7 linked regions of the Kluyveromyces lactis genome follow. The protein of the gene in region 5 binds, or shares a complex with, the protein of the main gene of each other region. Links are inferred from orthologs where the notes say so. Each region holds a gene or a part of one and is shown on either strand. Other genes may lie near its edges. The genes, in order: MRP20, MRPL23, MRPL9, MRPL38, RML2, MRPL51 and MRPL33.

Region 1 (4,142 bases), on a different chromosome or scaffold from region 5:
GCGGTGCGTCTGGTATTGAACCTGTCAAGGATCACAGAAGAAGGCGTTCTTCCAGTATAATATCGCATGTGGAACCGGAATCCTTTGAAGATGAAAATGACCAACAGATGATGAACAATATGAACGCTAATTGGGTGAATCAGCGAGGCGCATGGATTATCCACCTTGTTGTGATTGCACTGCTTAGACTCTTCTTCAATTTATTACCTGGAATGTCTAACGAATGGTCATGGACCTTGACTAACATCGCTTACGTGGTTGGTTCCTATATCATGTTCCATTTGATTAAAGGTACACCTTTCGATTTCAACGGAGGAGTTTATGATAATCTAACAATGTGGGAACAGATCGATGATGGGGTGTTGTATACGCCTACTAGGAAGTTTTTGATTACGGTACCTATCGGTTTGTTTCTTTTGTCAACACATTATTGCCGTTACGATTTACAACTATTTTTATTGAACTTCGTTTTAACTACCTTCGTAGCTGTGGTTCCTAAACTACCTGTAACTCACAGGCTAAGAATAAGCATTCCTGGTATCACAGGACCTGCTCAAATCAGCTAAGAAAGGGAGTCAAATGAATGAATCAAACATTAAAAATAGAAAGGAAAAAAAACAAAAACAGAGAGGCAGGAGATTCTCTACCTGCCTCTCCGGTTCACATCAGAAGCGATAAAATATCTCATGTTTTTTTCTGTTGTCTAATTGACCAGAACTGGGAGAAACTCGCTTCGTTCATATCGTCATTATCATCATCATCATTATTATTATTATTTTCATCATCATTATCATCATTATCCTGTTCCTATTTAGACAGGAACAAAAAAACTAGAAACTCCGTGTACTAATTGGAATAGGAACTTATAAAGAACATTAGAATGCCAATCTTAGTATAATCAGCAACAGGAAAAAAAGAAACAAGATTAACCGTTTAGTGACTAAGTATGACATTAAATGAGCACCTGCCCGTTATTGAACCCTTCCATCCTGAACCGTGAAGATCAATACAACGGAAATTCAGGAATCAAATAGAAATCTTATACCGTTACTCTTTTTTCGCTTCATTTTTTTTCAAACTGGGACATACTGCACTTAACTTTCCCTTAATATTCACCACAATGTATTTATCTTTTATACATACATATAGTGTTCTTCAAACTTATTTCTCATTTAAACATTGAAAATGTTCACAAGTAGTCGTCATATTATTTTGCTATGACAGTTTTTAAATCAGTACTATATTTCATACATTATATTTACAGGATGTAATACTTTTACTAGAATTTAATTCATGAAAGAATAAATTCTCTGAAATTCATGTGCTTTTAGCAAGGACTTCACTGACCTTCTTGATTTGCTCCAAATATTGTTCCTTCTTTGCCTCTCTAGCCTTCTTATTCACTAGTCTTCTTTTAAGGAATCTAGGAATGAAAGGTTTTGCAGTTTCCTGGTATGGTCCCAATACACCATCGAATGCCTTTGAAGGTTTGTTAGCGTCGGATCCTAGTCTCATCCTATCGTTTCTGTATTTTTCCAATTCCTTTTGGAACTCAGTATTCCATGCACTCTTGTCCTCAGGTTCTGCAGGCCAGATAAATGGTTCTGCCATATCGATAGTCATCTTCTTGATTTGAGGACCACGGTACCTGGGCGACACCGGCGTAGCACGAGTGTATCTGGCATGCAATAACTGTGTAGTAACGTTCAACGCTCTTAAACCATAAAGGTGGAATAAATAATCTCTTAAATCTAATTTGTTAAACGATTTAGGAACGATGAATTTCGCTTGATATGGAGTGTGTTTAGCATTTGGTCTTAGTAGAATAACTCTCGCTTTAGGAAAATAGAGCTCTGCACCACCAACTTTAAAATGTGGTTTCTCAGTTTTAATCGCTTCACGAGTGTACTCCAAGATTCTGCTTTGTACGGATTGACGAGGTCTCTTGAACTGACTGGCTTTGACTGCTACTGTAGATTCCGTCTCTACCGCAGTAGCAAGGTTTCTCAAACCCTGTTTGAGAGATGGGAAAAAACGAGGCATTTGTTATAGATATTGAACAGAAACACTGGCGCAAAGATTACTACTTCACTTCGCTCTGCACTCGCAACTGAAAAGTCCCAAATAATCCTGTTCTTGTATGCGTCTCTTAGAAGCCTCATCTTCATACAAATCTTAATGTTAAAATCGAAATCATTTCAATGAAAAGCTTTAAAATACTCATTTTCCATGTTAGTAGATATTAGAAAAGCTGATGAGTACACATTTTGGCACGAATCTAACGTAGAATATGTCGTACAAAACTGGAGAGCTCTGGGATGTTTTAGAAGAAAGATTTTTTATTGGAAAAATCAGAGCGTAGGAAATGATCTTCACGTGACCTGATATATTGAAATTTTTGAATAAATGCTGTTACCCGTTTGTGACGTGGGAAATGATGTTCTCTTTATAGTGAAGAAAAAAAATACTCTGGAAGCTTGAAATTGAAATATTATTGTTTTGAGAGGCGAAACGTAATTACCGATTGATCGTTAATAGGAAGATTGGAAGAGAGAAGAGAAAAGAGAGTACCAGTCGGCTTAATCATCTTCTGTCAGAGTGGGGTTTGTTTCGGATTATTGGGTAAGTCCTTAACTCTTTGTATTTGGGGTGTGTTTTCTTCTTTGTTTGACCAGTAATACACATTTCTTTTCAGGTTGCGAGCAACACAACAAAGAGTGTTATTCTGTACTTTAATAATAAGCACGCACGTACGCATTATTTGCCACGGTTGTGAGGTCAGTGTAGATTATTAACGTTTGCAATTCTTAATACAGACCAAGGATGACTGAATACTATGATGAAGATCCATATGGGTACGATGAGGAAGAAGCTGCTATTTCAGCAGAAGATTCGTGGACTGTTATCTCCGCTTTCTTCAGAGAAAAAGGTTTAGTATCTCAGCAGTTGGATTCTTTTAACCAATTCATCAACTATACGATTCAGGATCTTATCTTGGAAGACAGTACCTTGATTTTGGAACAATTAGCACAGCATACCACTGAAACGGACAACATTTCCAGAAAGTATGAAATTTCATTTGGTAAGATTTATTTGGCCAAACCATCCATGACTGAGTCAGATGGTGTTTCTCATGCGATGTATCCGCAGGAAGCCCGTCTCAGAAACTTGACTTACGCATCAGGTTTATTTGTGGAAATTCAGAAGAGAACTTATCAGGCTATTGATATTCCAGGTCGTGATTTGAAATACGAAATTATCACTGAGGAAAGTGAAGAGAATGAGGAAAATAATAAAATTTTCATCGGGAGAGTACCTATCATGTTGAGATCGAAGTACTGTTTGTTGGACGATTTGACAGAATCTGATTTGTATCGTTTGAAGGAATGTCCGTTCGACATGGGTGGTTACTTTATCATTAACGGTTCAGAAAAGGTTTTGATCGCTCAAGAACGTTCTGCAGGTAATATTGTCCAAGTGTTCAAGAAATCTGCTCCTTCTCCAATCTCACATATCGCAGAAATTAGATCTGCTCTAGAAAAGGGCTCTCGTTTTATCAGTACACTTCAGGTCAAGTTGTATGGTCGTGAAGGTTCCACCTCTCGTACCATCAAGGCAACTTTACCGTATATCAAGCAAGATATTCCCATTGTGATTATTTTCAGAGCATTAGGTATCATTCCAGATGGTGAAATCTTAGAACATATCTGTTATGATGTCAACGATTGGCAAATGTTAGAAATGTTGAAACCATGTGTGGAGGAAGGGTTTGTTATTCAGGATAGAGAAACAGCTTTGGATTTCATTGGTCGTCGTGGTACAGCTTTGGGTATCAAGAAGGAGAAAAGAATCCAGTACGCCAAAGATATTTTACAAAAGGAATTTTTACCTCATATTACCCAATTGGAAGGTTTTGAAAGCAGAAAAGCTTTCTTCTTAGGTTATATGATTAATAGACTATTGCTTTGTGCTTTAGACCGTAAGGATCAAGATGACCGTGACCACTTCGGTAAGAAAAGATTGGATTTGGCAGGACCTTTGTTAGCTCAATTGTTCAAGACTTTGTTCAGAAAATTAACAAGAGATATTCTACGTTTTATGCAAAGATCTGTTGAAGAAGCTAAAGACTTCAATCTTAAATT
Region 2 (3,707 bases), on a different chromosome or scaffold from region 5:
TTTTCCAAGATGACATTTATCCTGATGCTCCTTCTAGTAAACCAGCATTATCTGCAGCTGAATGGGTTGAGGGTAAATCTGTTGATGGCCCAATTTTGTTCAAACTCCAAACTTTATATGATGGAAGCGAACCTGAATTCACAGATTCCAAGAAACCAGTCAAAGAATTAACTTCAGAGTCTAAAGAACAGCCAAAATCTCCATCTCAATCTCCATCTCAATCCCCATCCACAGAAGTAAAGCATGAAGTGATAATTCAACTAACGCCTAGTAATAAAAGTAAGAAAACATCACCAAGTCCTGCTTCATCATCTAGTTCTGGTAGTCCAGCTAGGAAAGAAATGCCACCAGCAAAAGACACTGGCAAGAACCAAGTAGACGAACTATTGAGTAAGGATGCTTCTGTAAACAAGTTGCTGCAAAAGGCTTCTGACTTAGATGCTGATAATGAGGCTGAAAACCCAAGCGAAGAAAGTTCAGTATGGGACTCTGAGGATGAAAAGATCGTGAAAGCATCACAACAACCAGAAGTTGTTGTGAAGGTGGAAGCTAACACCGATTCTGAACCTGACAAGGCTGCTGAAGAGGTTCCACAGCAAAAGGAAGAAAATTCGTCTACAGAAATTACCTCGAAGGCCTCAGCTTCTTCTAAAGTCGAAAGTACTCCAGAGGCAAAGGTCGAAGCTTCATCACAGGCTAGCGTGGAAACAAACATCCGTGTGAACCCTTCTCAGGAAGACAGCGAAGAAAAGCCATCTTCCAATCCGAATACAGGTGGCGCAGCTGGAGCAGCAGCAGCAGCTGGAGCAGCAGCAGCAGCTGGAGCATCTACGAACAAGTCTCTCAATTTGAGACAATCTGTAGAAACATTATCTGGATTAGTTCTAAAGTTGGAAAGCTATATTGATAAATTAACCGAGGAAAATACCCGCAAAGATGAAATTCTTGCTGCTTTGGAAGCAAAAGTAGATCGTCTTTTGGAGCAAGGGAAATAATATCAAATATGAAATACATCCTTCCCTAATTCTTCTCGTTTTTGTTCTGTTAAATGTTCTTTCTTCCAGGCAAAAGTATTATGCTTTGGCATACTGCGATGTAATATCTTTTCTATCTCTGTATGTGATTTGTATGTGATTTGTATGTGATAATTAACATATCTAAATAACAATCTATATGTACATAGTAAAGTGGAAGAGTTTAGTACAGTGAAAAACGACAGACATTGTATGCGTACTAAGGAGAACCATTTAGATCGAATAATAATATATACAGGGATTTTACATCACATGCTGCCGTTAACTTCTCAAAAATTAAGAAGTCACATAAAAATTCATCCACACTATTTCTTCTGGTGTTGCAGCTCTAGTTGCTGATCAGCAAATGCGGTGATATTACTCTTGTATGGATGTTCACTTCCATCGAAAATTTTTAATCTAGCAAGTCTGATCTTACGAAGTTTATTCTTGGGAAGCATTCCGGACACAGCCTTCTTCAAAACTTCACTGTAACCCTTGTTACTGATCATGTCTTCCATTGTAGTCAACTTTAATGAACCTGGTCTAGAAGTATGCGACCAGTACGTCTTTTGGGTCATCTTGTTCCCCGTCACACGCAAAGCTTGGCAGTTCGTTACCACAACATAATCACCGCAATCAGCAGATGGATGATACACTGGCTTGTGCTTCCCCATTAACGCTAGAGCAACCTGAGATGCCACCCTACCAAGCGTTCTCTTGTCCTTGGATATATCAACATGATGCCACATCCTGGCAAATGCCAAACCAGTATGTCCTACCTTTTGAGACATACTTCTAATATATTGTTATTTTGCCTCCTTTCTGACAGGTTAAAACGTGGCACCTAAAAAGTTAAATTTTAAGTGATGCTATTCAACTGTAATCACTTAGGTAAAGGGATAGTTCGGGACAGTCAGTTGTCTTTTAACTCATCATATGTTTAGCTTGACAATCGATTTGATTAATTGATGTTTAATTTCAGCTTGGAGCCAAATTTTTTTCAATCGCTCATATTACTGTTACCCGGATGTTAAACACAATCTATATACAAGCTACTAACAAATACCTACAACTCATCCTGAACTATGTCGTCCTTCGTAAGTTTAGTCTTCTGTTTGTTCTTTTTAGTCTTGGACTTCTTTGACTTTGATTTATTCAAAATAGATTTGAGGTATTCTTGTCTCTTACTGAGTGGACCTTCCCTTGGTTTTGACTCGAATTTCGAAAGGAACGTTGCAATGTCATTTTTATCTGTAGTTTTTAATATGTCTAGTTCGTCATAAGTATCTGTTTCTCTATCTATCACTACGATTCTGGGCGATTGTAATTCAGTTTCACTTTTTTCTAACGATTGGAGGTATTTAACAGTATTTGGCCAATTCTTTGTATCGTTCTCAAAACTCAATTGTGACACGCCTTGCAATTTCTCGTCCCAGATCGAATAGAAATCGTAGATCCCAAGCCAATCGAGGGCTACAGATTTATATAAAGTTGGAATCTTCTCCTTCTTTGAGATAAGCACTACAGCGTACCTGGTTCTTGAAGATTTTAATAGTTCTTCGAACTTACTGTAACGGTTCAACCGCTTCACGTAGTTTTTCACTCTAGATAAAGCGAAATCGACAATGGGCTTCAATTTCCTTTCTCCCTTGTACACTTCTGTGGCATGCTGTGACGCAGCACCATTGGAATTTTTCTTTGGGTTATCCAAATTGATCTTTGGAGGCCTGAATACCATTAACGTTGGGAACCCCGATACTCTGTTCTGTGCACATAATTGTTTATTCACACTTTCATCACAGTTCACTCCAGCAACTTGTACCATTCCAGAGAGGATTTTACCGGCAGATTTCATGGAACCTTTCAATTCCTGACAGTAACCACACCACGGAGCATAAAACATGACCAAAGTGGTGTAATTGGTCCTATGAATGACTTTATCGAAGTTAGAAGGTGTCAATTCCATGATATTCTCATCACGGTCGTAGAAATTGGCTCCGAACGCCAGTTCGACCAACAAAAACAATGCATATAGAAGACGTGTGTACATCATAGTCTGGAGGACTTTAGAAAATGTTCAACGATGGAAGTTAACAAGGTGGTTTACTCTCTTCTCTTTTTGTCAATTTCGAGTGATGTTGAATTTCTTGGCAGCAGTGGACCCAAAGATTTGATTTTGAAATCGTTAAAAGGAACATCGATACATAAGAACTAAGAAATAAGGGGACACGATCCCATCATCATCATCAAAGGAATAAGGAAACACACAATAGCAGAGCCAAGTGATTAGAGAATGTCATTAGAAACTAGTTCTCCATACGCATTTTATGCTTTCTACCAGTTATACAGCCAATTTTATCGCGTGCCTAAGATAACACTAGAAACCGTGAACGATTTTTTGTATCAGGGGAAAGGTTTAAAACCTGAGTTTGCACGGAGTCCCCTATTTGTCACATGGAAGAAGTTGAAGAAAGGTGAATACCAACTTAGAGGGTGTATTGGTACGTTTTCCGAAGGTAAGATTGAAGAGGGTTTGAAAAGGTACGCTTTGATATCTGCATTGCAGGATTCGAGATTTACACCAATCGAGCGGGAAGAATTGAGCCAGCTAAGATGTGGATGCAATTTACTCAGTCAGTTCAAGACTATTTATAGCAGTGAGGGCACAGGCAATAGTGGTGATATTTGGAA
Region 3 (4,132 bases), on a different chromosome or scaffold from region 5:
GGCCATCAACTCCAAGTGTTTCGTAGCGATATCTCAACTACCACCACCGGCTTTCAAACTTTTCGTTGATGCCATATGTTGGGCGTTCAAACACAACAACAGAGATGTTGAGGTAAATGGGTTACAAATTGCTTTAGACCTTATTCAAAACGTTGATTCCGCTAGTCCGTCTGAATTCTCTAACGATTTCTACAAGAACTATTACTTCACATTCCTTAGCGAAACCTTCTATGTCCTCACTGATTCAGATCACAAATCTGGATTCAGCAAGCAAGCTCATCTTTTAATGAATTTGATTGCCAGAGTAGAAGAAAATAGAATAGCTGTACCATTATACAAGGAAGATGAAGCTCCTGCAGTCACTTCTAATCAAGCTTACTTGGCTAACTATCTAGCAACCATGTTAAGCAATGCATTCCCTCATTTGAGTGGTGAACAGGTTATGAACTTCATTCAAGCGCTACTCAAACAATATCATGATCCAAAGCATTTCACTGGTACTATTAGAGATTTCTTGGTCCAGATCAAGGAGTTCGGTGGAGATCCAACCGATTATTTGTTCGCAGAGGACAAAGAACAAGCTCTCGCGGAACAACATAAACTTGAAAGAGAAAGAGCTTCCAAGATCGGTGGGTTATTGAAACCATCGGAATTGGATGATGATGAGTAAAGATAACACCTTACAGAAATGTACAGCATGGTCAAGAAACGAAAAAGTTTCTGCGGATCCAATGAAAGCTGAAACTAACACTTGTCAAGCAAGGCAAATATATACATAGCAGGCCGTATATCTTCCCACATAGAGAAAAAAATTGTAATCAATTCTCTCCGACATATACCCAGGATCCAGTATCAACGTATGAAAGCCATTAAATATCTGGTTGAAAAGGACACTCAACGTTGCAGCAGTTACTATTTTATAATTGGTGTATATACAGGTATAGATTGTTAATAATAACCGTAGAAAGGCATGCTTTCCAAATGATTTCGGGACGGTGTCTAAACGACTGAAAAGATTCAATTTCTTAATCACAGTTTTTTATACTGGGGTTGGCTTTTTGATAGCATCTTGGATCTTAACGAATGCACCATTTGGACCTGCGACAGAGCCCTTCACCAAGACAGTACCTGTTTCGTCGTTGACGTCCAGCACTTGCACGTTTTGAATTGTTACAGTGTCGACACCCATATGACCAGGCATCTTTTTCCCAGGCAACACACGACCAGGTGTTTGATTTTGACCGTAAGAACCACCAGATCTGTGAGATACGGAAACACCGTGGGATGCCTTCAAACCTTTGAATCCATAACGTTTCATTACACCTTGGAAACCCTTACCTTTGCTGATTGATCTTAAATCAACGTATTGGCCAGGCTTGAACCACGAAGGTTTGATTAAAGAACCCACTGGTAGTAGTCCAGATTCGTCCTTGACTCTAAACTCGGTAACTTTTTCCTTTGGATTCACAACATGTGCAGCGAAATGTCCCAACATTTGTCTGGTAACATTCTCCGGCGACTTGTTACCATAACCAATTTGGCAAGCCCAGTAATTGTTTTCAGCTGGAGTTCTGTGTAGTATAACTTCGTTATTGTCCAACTGAAGTACAGTAGCTGCTATACGTTTACCAGTCTCTTTCTCGAAATACGGCATCATCCCTACTTTTTTACTCAAAGCACCACAACGTAGAGGTAATCTTCTTCTCTTTAGCGCATTTTCTGGAGAATGTTTAATATCTACAGGATCTAGATGAATGCTGCTTGCCACGGATGGTGCGACTAACTTGGCACCGTTCGATACTCCACTTTGTGAGAAAAGTCTTGTCCAAATCTTCGACGAAGGACTGCCAATAAATGCCATTATTCCCCAATTTTCAAAGACTGGTCGATTGATAACAAATGTGTCAATCCAGATAACCTCTTGGCAATGCTGGAGAAACTGTAAAGGATTTAAAATGTAGTTTAAAGACTCTATTGAAACCTGTTTCCATCTCTGTATAATTGTTAAAGCTGTTTCGATATTGAAAATTTTTTGAATCGATAAAGTTACCTATAGATCACGTGATTAAAACGGCACGTAGTTCTCTCACTGATTTAACACAAATTAAGTGTGCCCTTGACGGTTATTGGAAGTGTATGTTTATGCTTCTGTATTTACATGTTATTTAATATTATAATAATTATAATCATCATTCTATCGTCATCATTTGATCTTCTTATCCTTGATCTTGATAGTTTCATTGTTAACGTAGATACCTTTACCCTTATATGGTTCTGGAGGATGGAATTTTCTCAAGTTGGCAGCGAAGAGTAGCACTTGTTGCTTGTTGACACCTTCCACGATCAACGACGTGGGTACCGGAGACTTAACTATGATTCCCTCTGGGATAGGTAGGCCTTGTCTTACCGACGCACCGACTTTGACGTTGACAAAGGTGTTATTTTCCTCCAATTGAGCTCTGTAACCGGTACCAACGAACTTCAGAACAGCCATATGGCTCTCATTCACGCCTGTGATATGATTATTTATATGAGATCTTACCGTCCCCCACATGGATCTTTGCGTCTTGTCGGTAGAATCCTTCACTGCAACTTCGATTTTTCCCGAAGATCCATCCTGCTTTATCTCCACGAAATCTGGGATTTCCATATCAATCTTCCCCAAAGGACCCGATACAGTTACGTTCTGAGATAACTTAAGAGATTTGTTACCCTTTCTGATGATCTTTGGCAGTTTCATTGATTCCACCACCAACTTGGTCTCCGGTGTCAAATACACCGGAGAAGAACCAATATGTGAGCGCAGAAGAGCCGACACAGAAAAGAGTCTTCTGGAAACAAATGTCATGGTAATTGTGTATATCCTGGAAATAGTCTAGCCCACTTTGCAGCCGCTATATGACTGGGTATATTAGATCAAATGCGTCTATATCAATCTGTTCTTCCAGCACTCATCTCTATGCGTCTTTCAACCAATTTTTCACTTGGAATCAAAATTTTAATAGTGAGATAGTATGGGAGGGTAACTTTAATTGCTTTGACGATTGTTAAATAAGATATACTTAGGCTGTTACTCTCGATTGGTGACCATCTAGGCCACTCCTGGGTCGAAATGGGATGTGGAGACTGCTCTTCGTCGAAACACAGGAGTAAATACCTTGTGCTTATATTATCCTGTGCATCACGTGACTTGTTGATCTTTGCCCTTTCTTTTTGAAAAATTTCAAGCTCATCGCCTACGCATCGTCATCTCATCTCAATTACTGAATGATATAGCAGGCTGAAGTGGTTTCAAGAGCGTTCAGCAAGTCATTTGGTGGTCTCATAGCCAATATAAGGATAGGATACTCCAAGCAGATACACTAGGTAATACAGTATGGTAAGAGCATTGAAACATCATGAGCAGAAGCTTCTCAAGAAGGTCGATTTCTACGAATGGAAACAGGACCAGAACCACAGAGATACGCAGGTGATGCGTACGTACCATATCCAGAACCGTGAGGATTATCATAAATATAACAGAATATGTGGTGATGTGCGTCGTTTGGCACATAAGCTATCGCTTTTACAACCTACAGATCCCTTCCGTATCAAGCACGAGCAGCTCTTGCTAGAGAAACTATATCATATGGGCATTCTTTCAACAAAATCCAAGATATCAGCACTAGAGAATAAAGTTACAGTCTCGGCTTTCTGTCGTCGTAGATTGCCTGTAATAATGCATAGATTAAAGATGGCACAGACACTCAAGGATGCCGTTCAATTCATTGAACAAGGTCATGTTAGAGTAGGACCTAACTTGATTACAGATCCAGCATATTTGGTAACAAGGAATTTGGAGGATTACGTTACATGGACAGATTCATCCAAGATCAAGAAGACTGTACTACGTTATAGAAACGCGGTCGATGATTTTGACGATGCCTAGATTGATCCTGCTATACTTGCCTTCGGAAGTAGGAAAAAGGGCAAAAACTATTATTTTACAAATTTGAAAGGAAAGTAAGTAGTAGTGGTATATATGTATCATAAGAAAAAGTATTCTAATTACAATCTTTTGCTTCGAGCTCGGTTCCAATGTATATGGATATGCCGGATAATGCATATAAACACGTAAGGATTGTATTCAACA
Region 4 (3,885 bases), about 430 kb from region 5:
AATTCGAACCCATCTGATGACGAATCCGAATCTGATGAAGATGGTTATAAGGGACCAAATAAATCAGCCAATGTACCAAAGATTGTTAACGAAAAATCCGTCATTGGTGCTAACGAATTGAAACTGATAAACCAATTAACCGAAAAGATCGATAACGGATTTTGTTTGAAGGGCTCTAAGTCTGATGCAGTTTCCTCCAATGAACCTTCTTCTGCTCCACGAAAGCAGCATTTATGTGAGAAATACGGGAAGTCGATCGGTATCATTGGACAAGGTGCCTATGGGGTTGTAAAACTATGCTATAAATTTATTGACCCAGATGAACCTGATCTGAAAGATAATACATATTTCCATGATAACAAGTTATTCTATGCGGTAAAAGAACTGAAGCCAAGACCTGATGAGCCTCCAAAGAAGTTTAGCACAAGACTAACCTCAGAATTTGTGATAGGATTATCGTTGAGTGGTGGTAACAAAAGCAGAAGATCTTCGGCAAGAACACATCCTAACATTTTAAACGTTATTGATTTAATGCAAACACCTAACGCATTTTATGAAGTAATGGAATTTTGCCCTTCAGGTGATCTATACAGCTTGATTACAAGAAGCTCAAAATCTGATTCAGTTTTACATCCATTAGAAGCAGATTGCTTCATGAAACAACTACTACATGGTATTCAATACATGCATGCTCACGGTGTAGCTCATTGTGATATTAAACCAGAAAACTTGCTATTTCTCCCTACAGGTGTATTAAAAATATGTGATTTTGGTACAAGTTCTGTGTTCCAAACAGCCTGGGAAAAGAAAGCACATTTCCAAACCGGACCAGCAGGATCTGAGCCTTATGTTGCGCCTGAGGAGTTTATTCCAAAACAACAATACGATCCAAGACTAGTTGATTGCTGGAGCTGTGGTATTATCTACTGTGTTATGGTTTTAGGCCATTATTTATGGAAAATTGCTATCAAAGGCAAGGATTCAGTATATGACGCATTCCTCGAGGATATGGAAAAACATGGACAATATTATGTATTTGACGAAATGAAACATGTGTCTCCAGGTATGAACCGGTACAGAACTGCTGCACTTTATCATATCTTCCAAGTTGATCCGAATAAAAGGATAACGGTGGATTCATTGCTAAAAAGTTCGTGGATGAAGAGGACAAAATGCTGCGTTACATATCCACCAAGGCCGGTGTAACACCAAAATTTGTTTCATAGCTGAAGGCCTTGCTACTTTGGCAGATTTAGATTAGTTTCTTTCGCATCATTTTTATCTATATTTAAGATAAACATACATCTCTTTGAAACACTTATAAAATATTGATATCACTGTCAATGAGCAATAAGTTGGTAGTCGCGTATCCATCATATTTATCATGGCATTTTCATAAACTTTACTAACGATATTTTCTATTTTTTATTATCTATATACATGATTCTAAAAGCCCTGCGCAGTCGTAATCGATATTTACCAGTGGTGAAACATATTTACAAAACTTTACTTGCTAGAGAGCAAATCTTGTTGTAGCCCTTTTCCCTTAGTTCTCTGCCGACAACACCATCGTTACCCATAATTCTTGACCCTAGAGGTTCACCATTATTCTTGTTGATTAATACACAAGCATTGTCACCGAACGCAATTGTTGATCCATCAGGACGTATCATATTTCTTTGCTTGGTACGTACCACCACAGCGTGTACAATATCACCTTTCTTCACTCTGTTGTTATTGGATTGCCCAGTAATAGTTTGTGTTAATGGTTTAGCCTTCTTCACCACACAGACGATTTTGTCACCTATTCTACCTGGAGATTTTGGCGAACCTTTTCCAAGTACTTTGATACATTCGGCAATTTGAGCACCTGAGTTGTCAATGACTTTCAAAAAAGACTTCAAATAAATCATGTTATAACAGTCACAGTGTGAACTTCAGTTAGGTCGTGTGCTGCAGGCTGCTACTGATCGGGAAAGCACAGCTTTTCTTCCTGGACTATCGTTAGAGAAAGGATTAAAGCTTTCTATGTCTGGTTTCATCAAATTTTTTCTTAACCCATAATTGATGTATATCACGTGATTGATTTATTATTGGCTAATCAACGCCATTATCAACGCTTACTACATACAAATAAAGTGCTTACAACGCCGTCATTGTTAAGACAGCTGGTGTTTTCATTAGTTATCGTTATATACTTCAGTAAAATTATTAAGTATTATGCTGTTGAGAATGGTAAAACATCAGAAAAAAGGTCAATGTAACAGTATGCGTTACTATTAATGCTATTGGTATGCTTGTTGAATTAAAAATTAAGGGTTATAACTGACAAGGACAGAATAGTAGAAAATATTTTGTTAGTTTAGGATTAGTTTCAATGCTTACCCAGAGCTACTTTCACCATATCAAGTTCCCATCTCCGGGTTAAGTCTTTCGTTAAGCAGCCCTTCACTGCGTTGAATAGACCTTGGAATTCCACCTGGTCATCTACACCCAAGTTCGAGTTCATATCACAGTTACAAACTTGGCGTAGTGTCGTTTTATCATATTTACCTGAAGTTATTATTGCACGAAGTCTGGGCTCGTATTCATGTTTAAAAGGTAATTTGCCGGTAAGCATGGTGAAAATTAAAACACCAATGGCCCATATATCAGCGCTTGGTCCAATGGGAGGAGGGTTGGGTTCTAGTAACTCCGGAGCAGCGTATGGTAAAGAGCCAATTCTGCTCATGTCATCGTTGATATGTTCATGCAAATCTTTGTTAGGTGTTAATGTAATGTCTGTTTTTTGGTTCAACGAGCTGGTTAGGTTAGAACGAGTGCTCTTTGGTACGGAGTGAATACCCAAAGTCGTATCATCATGAATTAATTTTTTATCGTTCACTATTTGTCTTAACCTTGATTTCAACCGTAAAGAAGAATTATTCGTTGAAGAGGAAGATCTTGGAATTGAGGGTCTTCGTTTCAAGTGAAGAGTAGACCCATCAAATAGGGATTTCAGTTGAATTGATTCATTTTCCATCTGATCTTTGAAATGGCCATAAAAGTGACTCATGCCAAAATCGCATAATACAAGCTTCCAATCTTTGTAGTTCTCAGACTTTTTTTCTAGAAGGCAATTTTCCAACTTTATATCTCCATGTGCAATGAATTTAGAATGCATATATTGTACAGCATCAATTAATTGTAACGCTAAGGCGGATGTAGCTTGACACCTTTCTCTTAAACTAATCTTTGAATTACCACATTCGCCCCAAGAAACAACTAAATCGTATAAGGTTCCATGATCGATCTTATCTGTTAAACAATATGCCACCAGATCATCGTCTAATTTCCATTTTGTTAAAGGAAGAATATTATTGTGGGAAAGTTTCGACCATATTGAGATTTCACGTAGTACTTGCCTCTTTACACTTCGATTGTCCTTGAACTTGATAATCTTCATCGCCTTGCAACAAGTATTATTCTGGTTTTGAGATTCATCTGTAGAAGGGAAACATTCCCTGATCATACCCCAAGCGCCGAACCCTATTATTTTGCCAAGTCTATGACCCAAAATGAAAGACCCTTTATCGTCCCTCTTGAAAGAACTAGAACCGGGGGTAAAAGAGTTCAAGTATTTCGATGCAACTGATCCATGTCTGGATCTCACGTTATGTGTTGAGCCACTGTGGCTTAATTTCTCACGTTTCAAAATGTTCATAATAGTCTTATAGTCATGGTTGGGACTTAAATCCTGTATGATCTTCTTACGTTGGGAAAATGGCATATTGATGAAATCCGATGGAATAGATCTCATAATTCTATCTAGGTCATGTTCTGATATTTCAATTTGGGCAGGTGGAGTTCTCAGAGACGATGCAGAAAATAACGATGATGAGCTCG
Region 5 (4,566 bases):
TAGACTGTAACTAGCATGATAGGAATATTACCAGCATACTTAAAAGCATTGAACAATTGTGAACCATCTTTCTTCTGAGACCTTCCTCTTGTAAATTCTCTTAACGATTGAATCATTCTGACCAATGAGGGCAAGACTCCAACAAGTACGTCAATGTTTAACGATATAGCATTTTCATATCTTTCCACTTGACACTTGACGTTTGTTGGATCATGGAAAAGGAAAGTGGCATAAATAGCTAAATCCACCAATGGCTTAGAGTACGAGGTCAAAGTATCACTAATTATAATATAGTTATTCCTATACGGCTTTGGTTCAATGTCAGCTACCCAAAGTATTCTTTTAAAGCACCTTGCGACCATTGCTGATGACCTTAATATCATTGCAAATATGTAAAACAACTCCAGTAGTGGTGAAACATTCAAAAAAAACCAAAGCAATTTGTTGGATACGTTATTAGTGAAGGAGTATTGGAATAAGATTATACATACCAATTGCCACGGTATAATGACTCTAGAGATTGACTTGAACAGTTTCAGGCTTGATTGGTGTATTTTCGTGGATGTGTTAAAGTAAGGTAGTCCCGTGGACTCATTGGATACAATTACTTTGGACACGTCGTAGTAGGATACTGATACCTTCAGGAACCATGTCCATAGCCATAACCCTAATAACACAAGGACAACAACTCTCTGTGGGATCGGTAGGTAAACCAGAAAGGGTTCAACAGATTCGGCGTCCATGAATGCACGTATAAATAAGGAATCAAAAAAATGTAACAAAAAAAGGAGGAATAGAAGCAGAAGAAATCCCTTTCAGAAAGGCCCTGTGTGTATCGCTAACGGTTTAGATTTGTGGTTCACTGTCTCAGAGCTCTGTATAATCTAGGATCCTACGTTTTTAGTCCTAAGATAACACTTTTATTTCTATTGACATCTTTTCAAGACGTGTTTACAATTCAGATACCGGCACCAAAAATAAAAAAACACACACTACCGAAAAGCACAAGTTACAAGTACAAGAATGGAACAGCTAATGCTATATATAAACGTATTCAGGACTGTTAGAGATAACAAAAAGCGTGTTTCTAATCCTTTAAAATTTTGAATTTTATTCATGATTAGCATGGAAACTTTTAGTTCATCATTAATAGGTCTATATATTTAAGATAGAGAATGCCGAGTAATCCACTGACACATCTAACGTACACTTCGACTACCCGAATATATCCGGAAATGAAGAAAGTCAAACAAACAAGAAGATATAACTTGTACTGTATTGCCTGGACAGTTTATTTTAATAAAGTAATCGATTGATCAGAATTTTCAGTGTTTGGCTAATGCTAGTCGAATCGTTCATATTTTCGAAATCCGTTTGGGGCGACAGCGGTCATCATAATCGATATACTCAAAAAAAAAACAATCCAAATGATGGTATTTCCATACAGACAGTCATTATCTTCGTCGTTCCTTTTACTTGTTCATTTCCCGACATGAAGAGGAATTTGATTTCCGTTTGAGTTCAGTAAAAAAGACAGAATACGTTGCGAACAGGAACTCCTGTTCCTGATACACTACAAATCGAATCCTTGTTGGTTATGTCTCTAACTCTAATTAAAAGCTTTGTAACGGATAATAAAGTATTCGTGATGAGATAGAAACTTACCTCAAAATTTTTCACTTTTCCAGTTATTTAAACTAAAAACCATAAAACAGAAAGAATAGTCAATCTAACCATGAGAGACTGGTCTGCCATTAGGGCACAAAATAAGTACACAAAGATTTCCTGAATCACGTGACCAAATATTATATAATCCGGGTAAATTCAGAATACGTTCATAGTGATACTTCTTGCAAAAAATTCCATTTGACGATATTCCTCTGATGGTATTGAAGCTGTTTGAAATTAGAGATCGCTTGAAAGATTTTGATATTAACAAAAATGAACAATGTAATTGCAATGACTTAAACATTTTAAACTATGGATATTGATATATATAAGGGTGGATATATCTATAACAAATCTTATTAAGATCAGAGTTATTTTATTATTTCTGTGAAGGGCAGTAGCAAAGCGGAGATATTGGTATTAGACGGTTTACCCTAAGAATCTCGTTAGGTGCTCTGGATATAATATCATGTTCAAGCAATTCAACTTGAGATGCCTGACGCCGCTTGCCAGCGGCGTCTCCTCAAGAGTTCAAGTTCCGTGGAATGTTTCGATGATAATGTCTTTGAACAATACTTCACTTGGTGGAATCAGATCTATGGCCAGCATCACTCCAACCGGGAATGAAGAACAATCTTCAGTTGACGATGTCAATGTCCATATGTTGAAAATCGTTCCTAATAACACAGATGTGGTAGCACTAGAGAAGCAAGACGAATTGTTAAGAAGAAGAAGAAAGTTGGCTAAGGAAGTTACACAAATGAAGAAATTGAAACCGGTTTCTCCAGGTTTGAGATGGTACCGTGCGCCAATTTATCCATATTTGCATAAGGGAAGACCTGTTAAATCTTTGACTCTTGCCAAGAGAGGAAATGGTGGTAGAAACCATAGTGGTAAGATCACGGTGAGACATCGTGGTGGTGGTCATAAAAGAAGATTGAGAACAGTCGATTTCAGTCGTTTCGAATCTGGTATGCAAACTGTGGAAAGAATCGAATACGATCCTGGTAGAAGTGCACATATTGCATTGATAAAACATAACGATACTGGTGCCCTAAGCTACATTTTAGCATGTGATGGGCTAAGAGCTGGGGATACCATCGAATCATACAGAAAAGGTATTCCACCATCATTTTTGAAAGAAATGGGTGGGAAGATCGATCCTGCCATCTTATCTGTTAGAACAGCTCAAAGAGGTAACTGTCTACCAATCTCTATGATCCCAATCGGATCCATCGTTCATAATATTGGTATCACTCCTACAGGTCCAGGTAAGTTCTGTCGTGCTGCTGGTTCTTACGCACGTATCTTATCCAAGATCCCAGAAAAGAATAAAGCTGTTGTCCGTCTACAAAGTGGTGAGCACCGTTACGTATCATTGGAAGCTGCAGCTACCATGGGTGTTGTCTCAAATATTGACCATCAAAACCGTTCTCTAGGTAAAGCTGGTAGATCTAGATGGTTGGGTATAAGACCAACTGTCAGAGGTGTGGCAATGAACAAATGTGACCATCCTCACGGTGGTGGTAGAGGTAAATCTAAGTCCAAAAAGTTGTCCATGTCTCCATGGGGTCAATTGGCCAAGGGTTACAAGACAAGAAGGGGTAAGCATCAAAACAAAATGAAGGTTAAAGATAGACCAAGAGGTAAGGCTGGTAGAAAGGCTAGACAATGATAAGCTTCCCCACAACTGATCCTATCTTAAATATCATCAGTTTTTGTAAACTTATTTCAATGACTTCCATCCTGTAAATATCGTAGAACTAGTTAATTTAAAGAAATAACATAACATCTGTTCAGTTACCAACTCTATTTTAAACAAAGTTTAGATTACTACATCCAGAGCATCATTTGGTCTCTTCTTCCAGCTTAAATTCCCAGTTCCCAAGTTCGAATAAGGAACCAACGACTAACCTTACATGCTGGGCCATGTGATCAAATGAAAGTCTGTCTAAAGTGTCCATCGTACTGTGAATGTATTTGTTAGATTTGTTGAACTCACTTTCAATGACAAAGGAAGCGGGGAATCCATTCTTCGTTGCACTTCCGTGATCACTACATGCATATCCACATTCCGTTTCCACGTAAGGAATATCCAAGAATCTTCTTATAATCAACTTAATAAATTCAGTTAGACCTGGCGTGGTATAATCAGTAATGACACCAACATGCTCATTTTCTGGATCTTCAACATATCCGGTCATATCTTGTTGCAACATTGCGACGACTTTTTTGTTCTCCTCTGCATACCTGGTGAAGACATCCAAAGAACCTAGTAAACCACCTTCTTCTGCACTATAGAAATGGAACTCAATGGTGTTATTGGGTCTGTAACCTGTTGTAGAGAGATGTTCAACGTATAATCTCAATGCCTCTAGATTGGTTACGGTACCAGATCCATCGTCATCAGCTCCTGGCGCAGCAAGTATCGATGGCAATAAAAGGTTCATAGAGTCCTGATGCGATCCCATTACGACAATGTTCTCGGGAGTTTGTGCTCCTTTAATCGATACGATGATGGAGAATTGCTTCCAACCTTTATGCTGAACATGTTCAATGACAACGTCATTGTTCAATGGACTAGTGATGTTAGATAATTTCTCGGAGAGCCAAACAGCAGATTCGTACCCCGTGTCAGATTTGTAATAGCGAGTGTAGAAACTTGTGAATTTTGCCAAATTATCATGCATTGAAACCTTATCAACTCCCTTGGACAACGAATTTACAATTTCGTCGCATTGAGTTTCCTTCGGATAACGGTACACTGGCACAACAGCCTTTTCATCTTTGGACTTAAGTAATTTGGGAAAATTGGTAATATCCATGAATTGCACTCCTTTCCTCTTGAGAGACCATTTCTCGGTCTCTCGTACCATAATAGTCTTACCTTCCTCGATC
Region 6 (3,800 bases), on a different chromosome or scaffold from region 5:
CTGGAAGCAATACTAATTTGGCAGGTTTGGCTCATTCAGAAGATTTTGAAGCCCATCAAATGCTAAATTCCTTGTCCCTTGATGAATCGTCTTCATTTGTCCCAGGAATATCATCCGTCATTCCAAATACCATGACTTCACAATTTACAAATCAACAATCGATTGCCTCTGTAAAAGAATTGATTGCCAATCGCGAAATGTTACATCCCGCTATCACCTCTCTGACTTTGGATTATGCATTCTATAAAATTATAGGTTCCATTCCTCGTTGTATTGCCATGTTAGAGGCATTCCAACTGGTTGTCAGAGACTACAAGACTCCAGAAGGTACTACTCTTTCACGTAATTTGACAAGTTACCTGTCCCATCAAATTGATTTCTTGAAGAAGTCAAGACCATTGAGTGTAACCATGGGTAATGCCATTAGATGGTTGAAGCAAGAAATCTCTCTAATCGATCCTTCAACACCGGATTCAAAGGCCAAAAAAGAACTTTGTGATAAGATTGCACAGTTCGCTAGAGAAAGAGTGCAGTTGGCTGATCAACTTATCATTGAAACAGCTTCACAACATATTGAAGAAGGCAGCACTATATTGACCTATGGCTGTTCCAAGGTTTTAACTGATTTATTCCTACACAACGCCATAAATTTCGGTAAGAACTTCCAAATTGTTATAGTGGACAGTAGACCTTTGTTTGAGGGTCGTAAAATGGCAGAATCTTTGAGAAATCAAGGTCTTAATGTTTTGTATGTTCCCATTACAGCATTGGGTACCGTATTCAATATGGATATCAAATATGTGTTTTTGGGAGCGCATTCGATTCTTTCAAATGGTTTCCTATATTCAAGAGTCGGTACTGCTCAGATCGCTATGTTGGCAAGCAGAAGAAATATTCCTGTACTTGTATGCTGTGAGTCTTTAAAGTTCTCTCAAAGGGTACAGCTTGATAGTGTCACATCTAATGAACTTGCTGATCCAAACGATTTGGTAACCATTGACTCTGCTAATCCTGTACAGAGACGTAACAACAATGGGTTCTTATTACAGCAATTTATCAAAGAGCGTGAAGCGCAGCAGAAGGAAGTCGAGAATAGCTCTAAGCAAAATAATAAATCTGGCAGTGCTAATACCAATAATGCTACTGCCGACGAAGGTAAGAATGTCAAGGATAAACCAATACTAGCAGAGTGGGAGAAATCACCTAATTTGCACATCTTCAATATAATGTACGATTTAACACCCCCTGACTACATCAAGAAGATCATTACAGAATTTGGTTCGTTGCCACCATCTTCTGTTCCCGTGGTTCTTAGAGAATACAAAGCATCAGCTTGAATGGAGCCCTTTGCATATATAATATACGATAATATCATATAATATAGTAAATGAAAAATTAGTATAGATCTTCTTTTTTATTAATTGCGTAGTAATATTCAACATCGTAGGTTGTTTACTTAGGTATCGGCTTCATCGAGGATATTGCTATATATATGTACAAGTTAAGCTATGATCTCGATATTACCATTCACAAGTCATTTTTTCGATTCAAACCTTGTGTCTGATGGCTGGGCTTAAATGTAGTGGAGACCAGATACCTCTCACACTATCGTTCAAAGTATCCACATTGTCGTTCTTAGTTCTGTGACGGAGTTGCTCACCAGATGCGTCTCTGATTAGTTTTAACTTATTCTCTACATTATCAATGTTCAGATTTTTTACGCAGATGGCTTTATTACGGCCATTAACATAGTCACCTTTTATAACTGGATGGCCAGACTTTCTTACTATTTCGAACTGTATTGTTGGATATTTTTCAGCCCATTGAATCATTCTGTTAGACGTTAGGAAATCTCTCAAACCCTGTGAGGAACCACCCCAATTACAGTATTGCAAAGTGATCTTTTTACATGGAAGCACAAAAGCGCCAACACCATTTCTTGCGATAGAAGTTTGTCTCAAAACTTTAACAACCATTACTTCAGAGAAATCTTTATGACCGCGGGTACCAGCTCTGATTAGAAAACAAGTTGGGTGTATTTTGAAACTGTGGAGAGATCCTTCAGATGCAGAACATAGATTCACTAATATATCTTTTGAGTTTTATTCGAGTTTTCAGTTCATGATTATTTTTTTCCAATTTCAAAAGACCATCAGTCACGTGAACAAATCTGTATGTATTCGAAGGTAGGAGGACAATTCACCACATGCTCACACAAATGAAAAAGATACTGGTACCAACACTGCTATAAGGTGACGAATGTAAATAATACAGAACCTCTTTCCGACTATATTCTGTTTCTTTCACATTGCTATGTCAACACATCCTCATGAGATGTCATACGTCATGTAAACTTGATGATCTGTCGATGGGTTATGACAATAATGCACTACCAGCGTTTGGTTAAGGGTACTTTTACTGAGCAAATCCATAGAAAGTACGATAGAGGCCCCAGATTCTGATCCAAGATGTCCCAAAGGCTTCATATGAGGTTAATTAAATAAAGGGCCTGATTTGCGTTCACCCATGGAATGTACGGATTGACACCTAGCGTATGTTGGATGCACACTAGTAATTTGTTAAAAAAATTATGCACATGCGTCATTTAAACCAATTAACTGGGCACTCCCTATTAAGTGTGATGTAAGTGTATGACACTTTGTTCAAGAACAGGCAAATGTATTGCCATAATAGTCACCAGTTTATCATTATGGTGCGTATAATGTCCCTATAACTATTGAAAAATTAAAGTTCTATGCGTTTTTTTAAGGATGCGTATAACGATGACCACCCCTAAAAAACATTCACTTGTAAGTAGCGAACAGTCAAGGTTTGTATCCGTTTCTTTAATTTATTACGGCGTTCACTGAAGCGTTTCAACGATGCAGTATAAAATGCGACAAAAAAATTTAGGGAAAAAAGCAGAAGAATACCATACTAATTAACTGGAACTTGGTAATTCATCAACGGTAAATACTTATAAGGTGTTAAGAGTTTATTAGCGTGTCCAAAGTAACATTTGTATTATATAAGAAGGGCAGCAAATGGCACTTTTTTACTACCATTTTCATACCTTTTACTTGCACCTTTATTTCATGTCATTGAAGAATTCTTAATATACATAGTTTTCCTTCAGATTAATTAAAGATTGAACACCCTCGAACAACAACCTAACTTTACTACGCTCATTAAAAACGATTATAACGCTAAACTTGGTTCCCTACCCATACATACCTTTTGAAATTATTTTCTCTGTCACTAAACAAGAAAGTTTCAAAACGTCAGTTTTCAGAAGCTTCAATACCTCGCTACAGAAAAATAAAATCATTCATTGGATCCAACTTTACGTCTATCCTTAAAAAGGAAAAAGGAGTGTGAATTAGTGTGAACATTGAACTCGAAGAGTTGCAATAATCATAGCACCACCACCTTAAAAACAATAAAAATAAATACAGTCGCTCGTTTGAAATATATTTTGCTTTCAATTTAACTATTGAAAGAACCTGATACCAAAAACCCAAGAACGTTTTCTAAGCGGCTTTGTCTGAGAAAACCTGAAAAAACCTTTTTGACACATTTCTGCAGGCAAACTTCTTTTGTCCCTGCATTAGAAAAAAAGAACTTTTGTGAACACCTAACCAAGGCAAACCTAAAACAAAAGCTACCTATGGAGCAATATCTTAACTTATCCGATGATGGCGAAGCACAGCCTAATTTGGATTTGGAATTAAAATCCTTCTTTGACTTTAGTCAAGATTCATCAATTAACCAAGATCCTTCTGCAGTTGGTCCCAACAATA
Region 7 (3,760 bases), on a different chromosome or scaffold from region 5:
ATAATAAATACCACTAATTTTTTTTGTACCTTTTAGGCAATTGTCAACACAACTATTGTTGACATTTTGAACTCTCTAAAAACAGAACATTAAAATACAAGGCAATAGACATTATACATACCACTCCCAATGGTTGGTAGTTGATCCACATGTCCTACAGTTTTCGCAAAGCATTTGGTCAATACAGTTGAGCAGATCACGGATATATAGTTGCTTTCTAAAGGACTACTGGGTGACCCCGTTTGAAATTCCGAGACTATAGTAGAGTGAACGATGACAGAGGGAAGACGTTTATCAAATCGTTCTAGCATTCGCAACACCACGCATATATTCAACGATACTTCAAGTAAGACGAAGGGTACTAAATTCAAATTTAAGAATGGTTCTGGAACTCGGCAGTCTCCAAACAAACAGCACATATCGTCGTCTCCTCCAATATTAGAAGTTCAAAACATCGCCGATGTAGACACATCAAATACTTTTGGGCAATTCAATCGAATTTCACAGCCACCAAGTAAGAACTTGAACTACGATACTCCAAAGATCAATGTAAAACTAGAGTATCATACAATGCAAAGTTCTAAGATCATTTACAAGATAGATGTTCCAATATCAAGTAAATCAGACATGGAAATTTCTCCCGTGATAACAAAGTTGATCAACGAAACCCATGAATCAGCTGAAGCATTCAAACTTTGTAATGACAATAGATTCGGTTATACCACATTGGACGCTTTACCAGCTGTTTTGAGCAAATATATCTCCCAGAATATGAGTGTTCAAAGGTTACCACAAAGACCTAAAACAAAACATTTGTACAATAGAGTTGATCAATTGCTGGCTCAAGAAAATCAATTCTTTTCGGCAAATGACAGTATAGAACTAAGTTTTGATGGAAAAGCTATGAATAAAAATGATATCTTCAGAATTGTAGATTCGTTCTCGGTGGCATTTGACGATGATGAATATGGTGAAGATGGTGACGACGAATACGTGAAACAGCCTAGGAATATTCTCACCAGAGAAGTCACCGGTGTCTTCTAAATAAAGACGTTTGGTATATGATACTCTCAAATACCTCATTAGAATAAGATTAATATTTCTTTGATCTCTATATACATGAAAATCCTAATATCCTTTTCTTTATGTAAAACAGAAGATGTTCATTGTGAGCCCAGTTTCTTCTCTGTTAAATGTTTCTGGTACATTGCTTTGTTTGTTATATTGTCTGGTATGATCCTTTCTATACTCTCTTTTCGACAGTAAATCCAGGATTTGATTTTCTTAGCTCACGCTGTTCTGCCTTACTTAAAGCTTTATCGGCAAGCTCAACGCTCACAAGCTCCTTTATCTGAGCGACAGCACCTGCAATAGATGGTGTAGCTGGTTGATATGCGACAGATCCTCTTTTTCCGAGTCCTAAACTCTTGACCACTGCCCTAGTCTTCTGTGGAGTACCAATGACTGACCTCTGTAATGTAATTCTGTAGAAAACCATGGCTATCTTTGAAAATTATTATGATAGCTATGCTTTTAGAAACCGTTCGCTAATACCAGTAATGAAGTATAATTTCCTCGGTCGTAAGTTTCGTTGACAATATAGAGAACTATGTCAAAAAAAAACGCTCTTTTAAGAGATCTTGTGCATCATTATCGAAGAGATTAACTGGGTATTCAAACCATTAATAGCCAACGTACATTGATTTTTCAAATAGCATCAAAACGTATAAAGTGATATCATGTGATGTATATTGTCTAGCAGCTCATCGCGTATGTCATTTGGGCACTTCTCACAAACCGTCGCAGGAAAGTGCTACCTACTGAGAAAGAACCAGGAATTGCATATAAAGATCTCAAGATTATATCTCGCTGTTTGAATATTTCTTCCTGAATATGAAGTTGCATTGAAATTGTCTTAGGAGGGGCATTTGCTTGGTTATGTATATATATATATATATATATGTCATTTCTTTTTTTCCAATATTTATGCCCGATTGAATAATATATATATATATCATATTAACAAGCTCTTAACGCCATGGTTGGTTAGATCTCTCTAAGGTTTATATCGCCACTATACACTGCAAAGTAGAAGTAATAATTTGAGCCAATATGGCTGGTAGTACGCAAGACACCGGCGTCAAAGACGTTCCAAAAGAGCTTGTGGAACAAGCAAAAAAGCTATCGATTACTGATGGGATGGACCAGTTGAAGGTAGAAGGTAAGAATAAAGTAAAGGACAAGAAAAGTAAGAAAAAAGGCAAGGCCTTGAATGAGATCACTCCAGAGTATATCGCTGAGATGCGAGCTAAGAGAGAAGCTGCGAAAATAGCAAAAAAAGAGGCTCTTATTGCTCAAGGTATAGATCCAAAATTGCCCGCAGACCTTAGATTTATCAAAAGGCCGATGTTAGCTGTTCCTCGAGATTCATCAGGCCAATCGACGAGAGAGGTATGTCCAATCAGTATAATGACGTATAATTGTCTTGCCCAAGCTTTGATTAGAAGAACACTGTTTCCTACGAGCGGAAATGCTGTTAAATGGTTTAAAAGATCTCAAGTTTTACTCAATGAATTCAAATATTACAATGTTGACGTACTGTGTTTGCAAGAAATTGACACGGTTCAATACAAGTCTTTCTGGAAAATGGAGTTCACAAAACTAGGTTACATGTGTCAATTCCATTTTAATCCTACCAAAAACCACGGAGTATTAATTGCTTGGAAAGAAGATCTATTTGATATGACAGATAAGATGTTAATTGACTACGACAAAGAAACAACAGGTGCCATTGAACCAAGAACAACTACCAAAAATGTTGGCATGTTGCTTTCTTTGAAGTTTAAAAAGAAAGTGCTAGAAAAATATCCAGACACCAAAGTCAGTGGTATAATTATTGGTACCACACATTTGTTTTGGCATCCATTTGGCACATATGAACGGACAAGACAATGCTATATTGTACTAAAAAAAGTAAAAGAATTCCAGAATCGAATCAACGTTCTTCAAAACGAAAAAGACGGTGATAATTCACATTGGCCAGCATTTTTCTGTGGCGATTTCAATTCTCAGCCGTTTGATGCCCCATATTTGTCCATCACATCAAAACCAGTGGAATATACCGGAAGGGCTAAAACAGTTATAGAGTGCAGCACTTCATTTACCTTCTCTAAACTAAGAGATGGGGATGAAGGAGAAGGAGAAGAAGGCGGCAACATTGAAAAATTTGGTAAAGGTCAACCTGAGACCCCCGTGCCAGAATCTTTTTCCGGCAACGAAGAGCAAAAGCAGTTATGTGAGAACATGAAAACCCTTCATAATGACATTGACATGCGCGCTATATCCTTGTATTCAATTGCTTACTCGAAAGTTCATCCTGAAAACTCAGGATTGGACAACAAGCGTAATGAACCTGAAATATCTAATTGGGCACATGCATGGAGAGGTTTGTTAGACTACTTGTATTATGTTACATCATGGGATGGATGCGATTGTACTAAGATAGATGAGCTATCAACATTTGAGCAAAATTATGGAGTTCAAGTTCTTGAGCTTCTAAGAATACCTCCCGCCAAGGAAATGACAGAGCATGGACAACCTCATGAAGGTGAATATCCTAGTGATCATTTGTGCATGATTGTTAAACTGGGAATCATAATGTAAATATTCATAAACTGTTTAACTATGGACTACACTACAGATTAAGCTTTGCTTTCTTATTTTTGGTGGGTTTCGTATCGACTTCTAAGTTACTCAGACG

What was found.
Region 1: RML2 (region 5) and MRP20 share a complex: the UniProt entries of both Schizosaccharomyces pombe proteins name them as parts of the mitochondrial large ribosomal subunit. The link is inferred for Kluyveromyces lactis from reciprocal best matches to the Schizosaccharomyces pombe genes rml2 and mrp20.
Region 2: RML2 (region 5) and MRPL23 share a complex: the UniProt entries of both Schizosaccharomyces pombe proteins name them as parts of the mitochondrial large ribosomal subunit. The link is inferred for Kluyveromyces lactis from reciprocal best matches to the Schizosaccharomyces pombe genes rml2 and mrpl23.
Region 3: RML2 (region 5) and MRPL9 share a complex: the UniProt entries of both Schizosaccharomyces pombe proteins name them as parts of the mitochondrial large ribosomal subunit. The link is inferred for Kluyveromyces lactis from reciprocal best matches to the Schizosaccharomyces pombe genes rml2 and mrpl9.
Region 4: RML2 (region 5) and MRPL38 share a complex: the UniProt entries of both Schizosaccharomyces pombe proteins name them as parts of the mitochondrial large ribosomal subunit. The link is inferred for Kluyveromyces lactis from reciprocal best matches to the Schizosaccharomyces pombe genes rml2 and mrpl38.
Region 6: RML2 (region 5) and MRPL51 share a complex: the UniProt entries of both Schizosaccharomyces pombe proteins name them as parts of the mitochondrial large ribosomal subunit. The link is inferred for Kluyveromyces lactis from reciprocal best matches to the Schizosaccharomyces pombe genes rml2 and mrpl51.
Region 7: RML2 (region 5) and MRPL33 share a complex: the UniProt entries of both Schizosaccharomyces pombe proteins name them as parts of the mitochondrial large ribosomal subunit. The link is inferred for Kluyveromyces lactis from reciprocal best matches to the Schizosaccharomyces pombe genes rml2 and mrpl33.

What each region holds. Positions count from the first base shown.
Region 1 is NC_006038.1:504,037-508,178, reverse strand, and holds MRP20 (mitochondrial 54S ribosomal protein uL23m), read right to left. Parts: upstream 2,044-4,142; coding exon 1,318-2,043; downstream 1-1,317. Other genes in the region: sphingolipid homeostasis protein ORM2, read left to right, coding at 1-566; DNA-directed RNA polymerase II subunit RPB2, read left to right, coding at 2,824-4,142. UniProt on the Schizosaccharomyces pombe protein: Component of the mitochondrial ribosome (mitoribosome), a dedicated translation machinery responsible for the synthesis of mitochondrial genome-encoded proteins, including at least some of the essential transmembrane subunits of the mitochondrial respiratory chain.
Region 2 is NC_006040.1:209,991-213,697, reverse strand, and holds MRPL23 (mitochondrial 54S ribosomal protein uL13m), read right to left. Parts: upstream 1,808-3,707; coding exon 1,340-1,807; downstream 1-1,339. Other genes in the region: CRN1 (coronin), read left to right, coding at 1-995; protein disulfide isomerase MPD1, read right to left, coding at 2,083-3,069; KLLA0_D02464g (uncharacterized protein), read left to right, coding at 3,310-3,707. UniProt on the Schizosaccharomyces pombe protein: Component of the mitochondrial ribosome (mitoribosome), a dedicated translation machinery responsible for the synthesis of mitochondrial genome-encoded proteins, including at least some of the essential transmembrane subunits of the mitochondrial respiratory chain.
Region 3 is NC_006041.1:1,425,269-1,429,400, reverse strand, and holds MRPL9 (mitochondrial 54S ribosomal protein uL3m), read right to left. Parts: upstream 1,862-4,132; coding exon 1,040-1,861; downstream 1-1,039. Other genes in the region: exportin CRM1, read left to right, coding at 1-670; MRPL6 (mitochondrial 54S ribosomal protein uL6m), read right to left, coding at 2,204-2,848; snoRNA-binding rRNA-processing protein IMP3, read left to right, coding at 3,377-3,928. UniProt on the Schizosaccharomyces pombe protein: Component of the mitochondrial ribosome (mitoribosome), a dedicated translation machinery responsible for the synthesis of mitochondrial genome-encoded proteins, including at least some of the essential transmembrane subunits of the mitochondrial respiratory chain.
Region 4 is NC_006037.1:613,007-616,891, reverse strand, and holds MRPL38 (mitochondrial 54S ribosomal protein uL14m), read right to left. Parts: upstream 1,914-3,885; coding exon 1,497-1,913; downstream 1-1,496. Other genes in the region: putative serine/threonine protein kinase KKQ8, read left to right, coding at 1-1,206; protein kinase NNK1, read right to left, coding at 2,375-3,885. UniProt on the Schizosaccharomyces pombe protein: Component of the mitochondrial ribosome (mitoribosome), a dedicated translation machinery responsible for the synthesis of mitochondrial genome-encoded proteins, including at least some of the essential transmembrane subunits of the mitochondrial respiratory chain.
Region 5 is NC_006037.1:182,397-186,962, reverse strand, and holds RML2 (mitochondrial 54S ribosomal protein uL2m), read left to right. Parts: upstream 1-2,137; coding exon 2,138-3,343; downstream 3,344-4,566. Other genes in the region: ERD1 (Erd1p), read right to left, coding at 1-743; KLLA0_A02013g (putative aminopeptidase), read right to left, coding at 3,516-4,566. UniProt on the Schizosaccharomyces pombe protein: Component of the mitochondrial ribosome (mitoribosome), a dedicated translation machinery responsible for the synthesis of mitochondrial genome-encoded proteins, including at least some of the essential transmembrane subunits of the mitochondrial respiratory chain.
Region 6 is NC_006042.1:775,597-779,396, forward strand, and holds MRPL51 (mitochondrial 54S ribosomal protein mL43), read right to left. Parts: upstream 1,977-3,800; coding exon 1,548-1,976; downstream 1-1,547. Other genes in the region: GCD2 (translation initiation factor eIF2B subunit delta), read left to right, coding at 1-1,337; KLLA0_F08371g (uncharacterized protein), read left to right, coding at 3,668-3,800. UniProt on the Schizosaccharomyces pombe protein: Component of the mitochondrial ribosome (mitoribosome), a dedicated translation machinery responsible for the synthesis of mitochondrial genome-encoded proteins, including at least some of the essential transmembrane subunits of the mitochondrial respiratory chain.
Region 7 is NC_006039.1:552,396-556,155, reverse strand, and holds MRPL33 (mitochondrial 54S ribosomal protein uL30m), read right to left. Parts: upstream 1,499-3,760; coding exon 1,244-1,498; downstream 1-1,243. Other genes in the region: KLLA0_C06292g (uncharacterized protein), read left to right, coding at 274-1,044; NGL2 (RNA exonuclease), read left to right, coding at 2,113-3,663; ATP-dependent DNA helicase YKU70, read right to left, coding at 3,695-3,760. UniProt on the Schizosaccharomyces pombe protein: Component of the mitochondrial ribosome (mitoribosome), a dedicated translation machinery responsible for the synthesis of mitochondrial genome-encoded proteins, including at least some of the essential transmembrane subunits of the mitochondrial respiratory chain.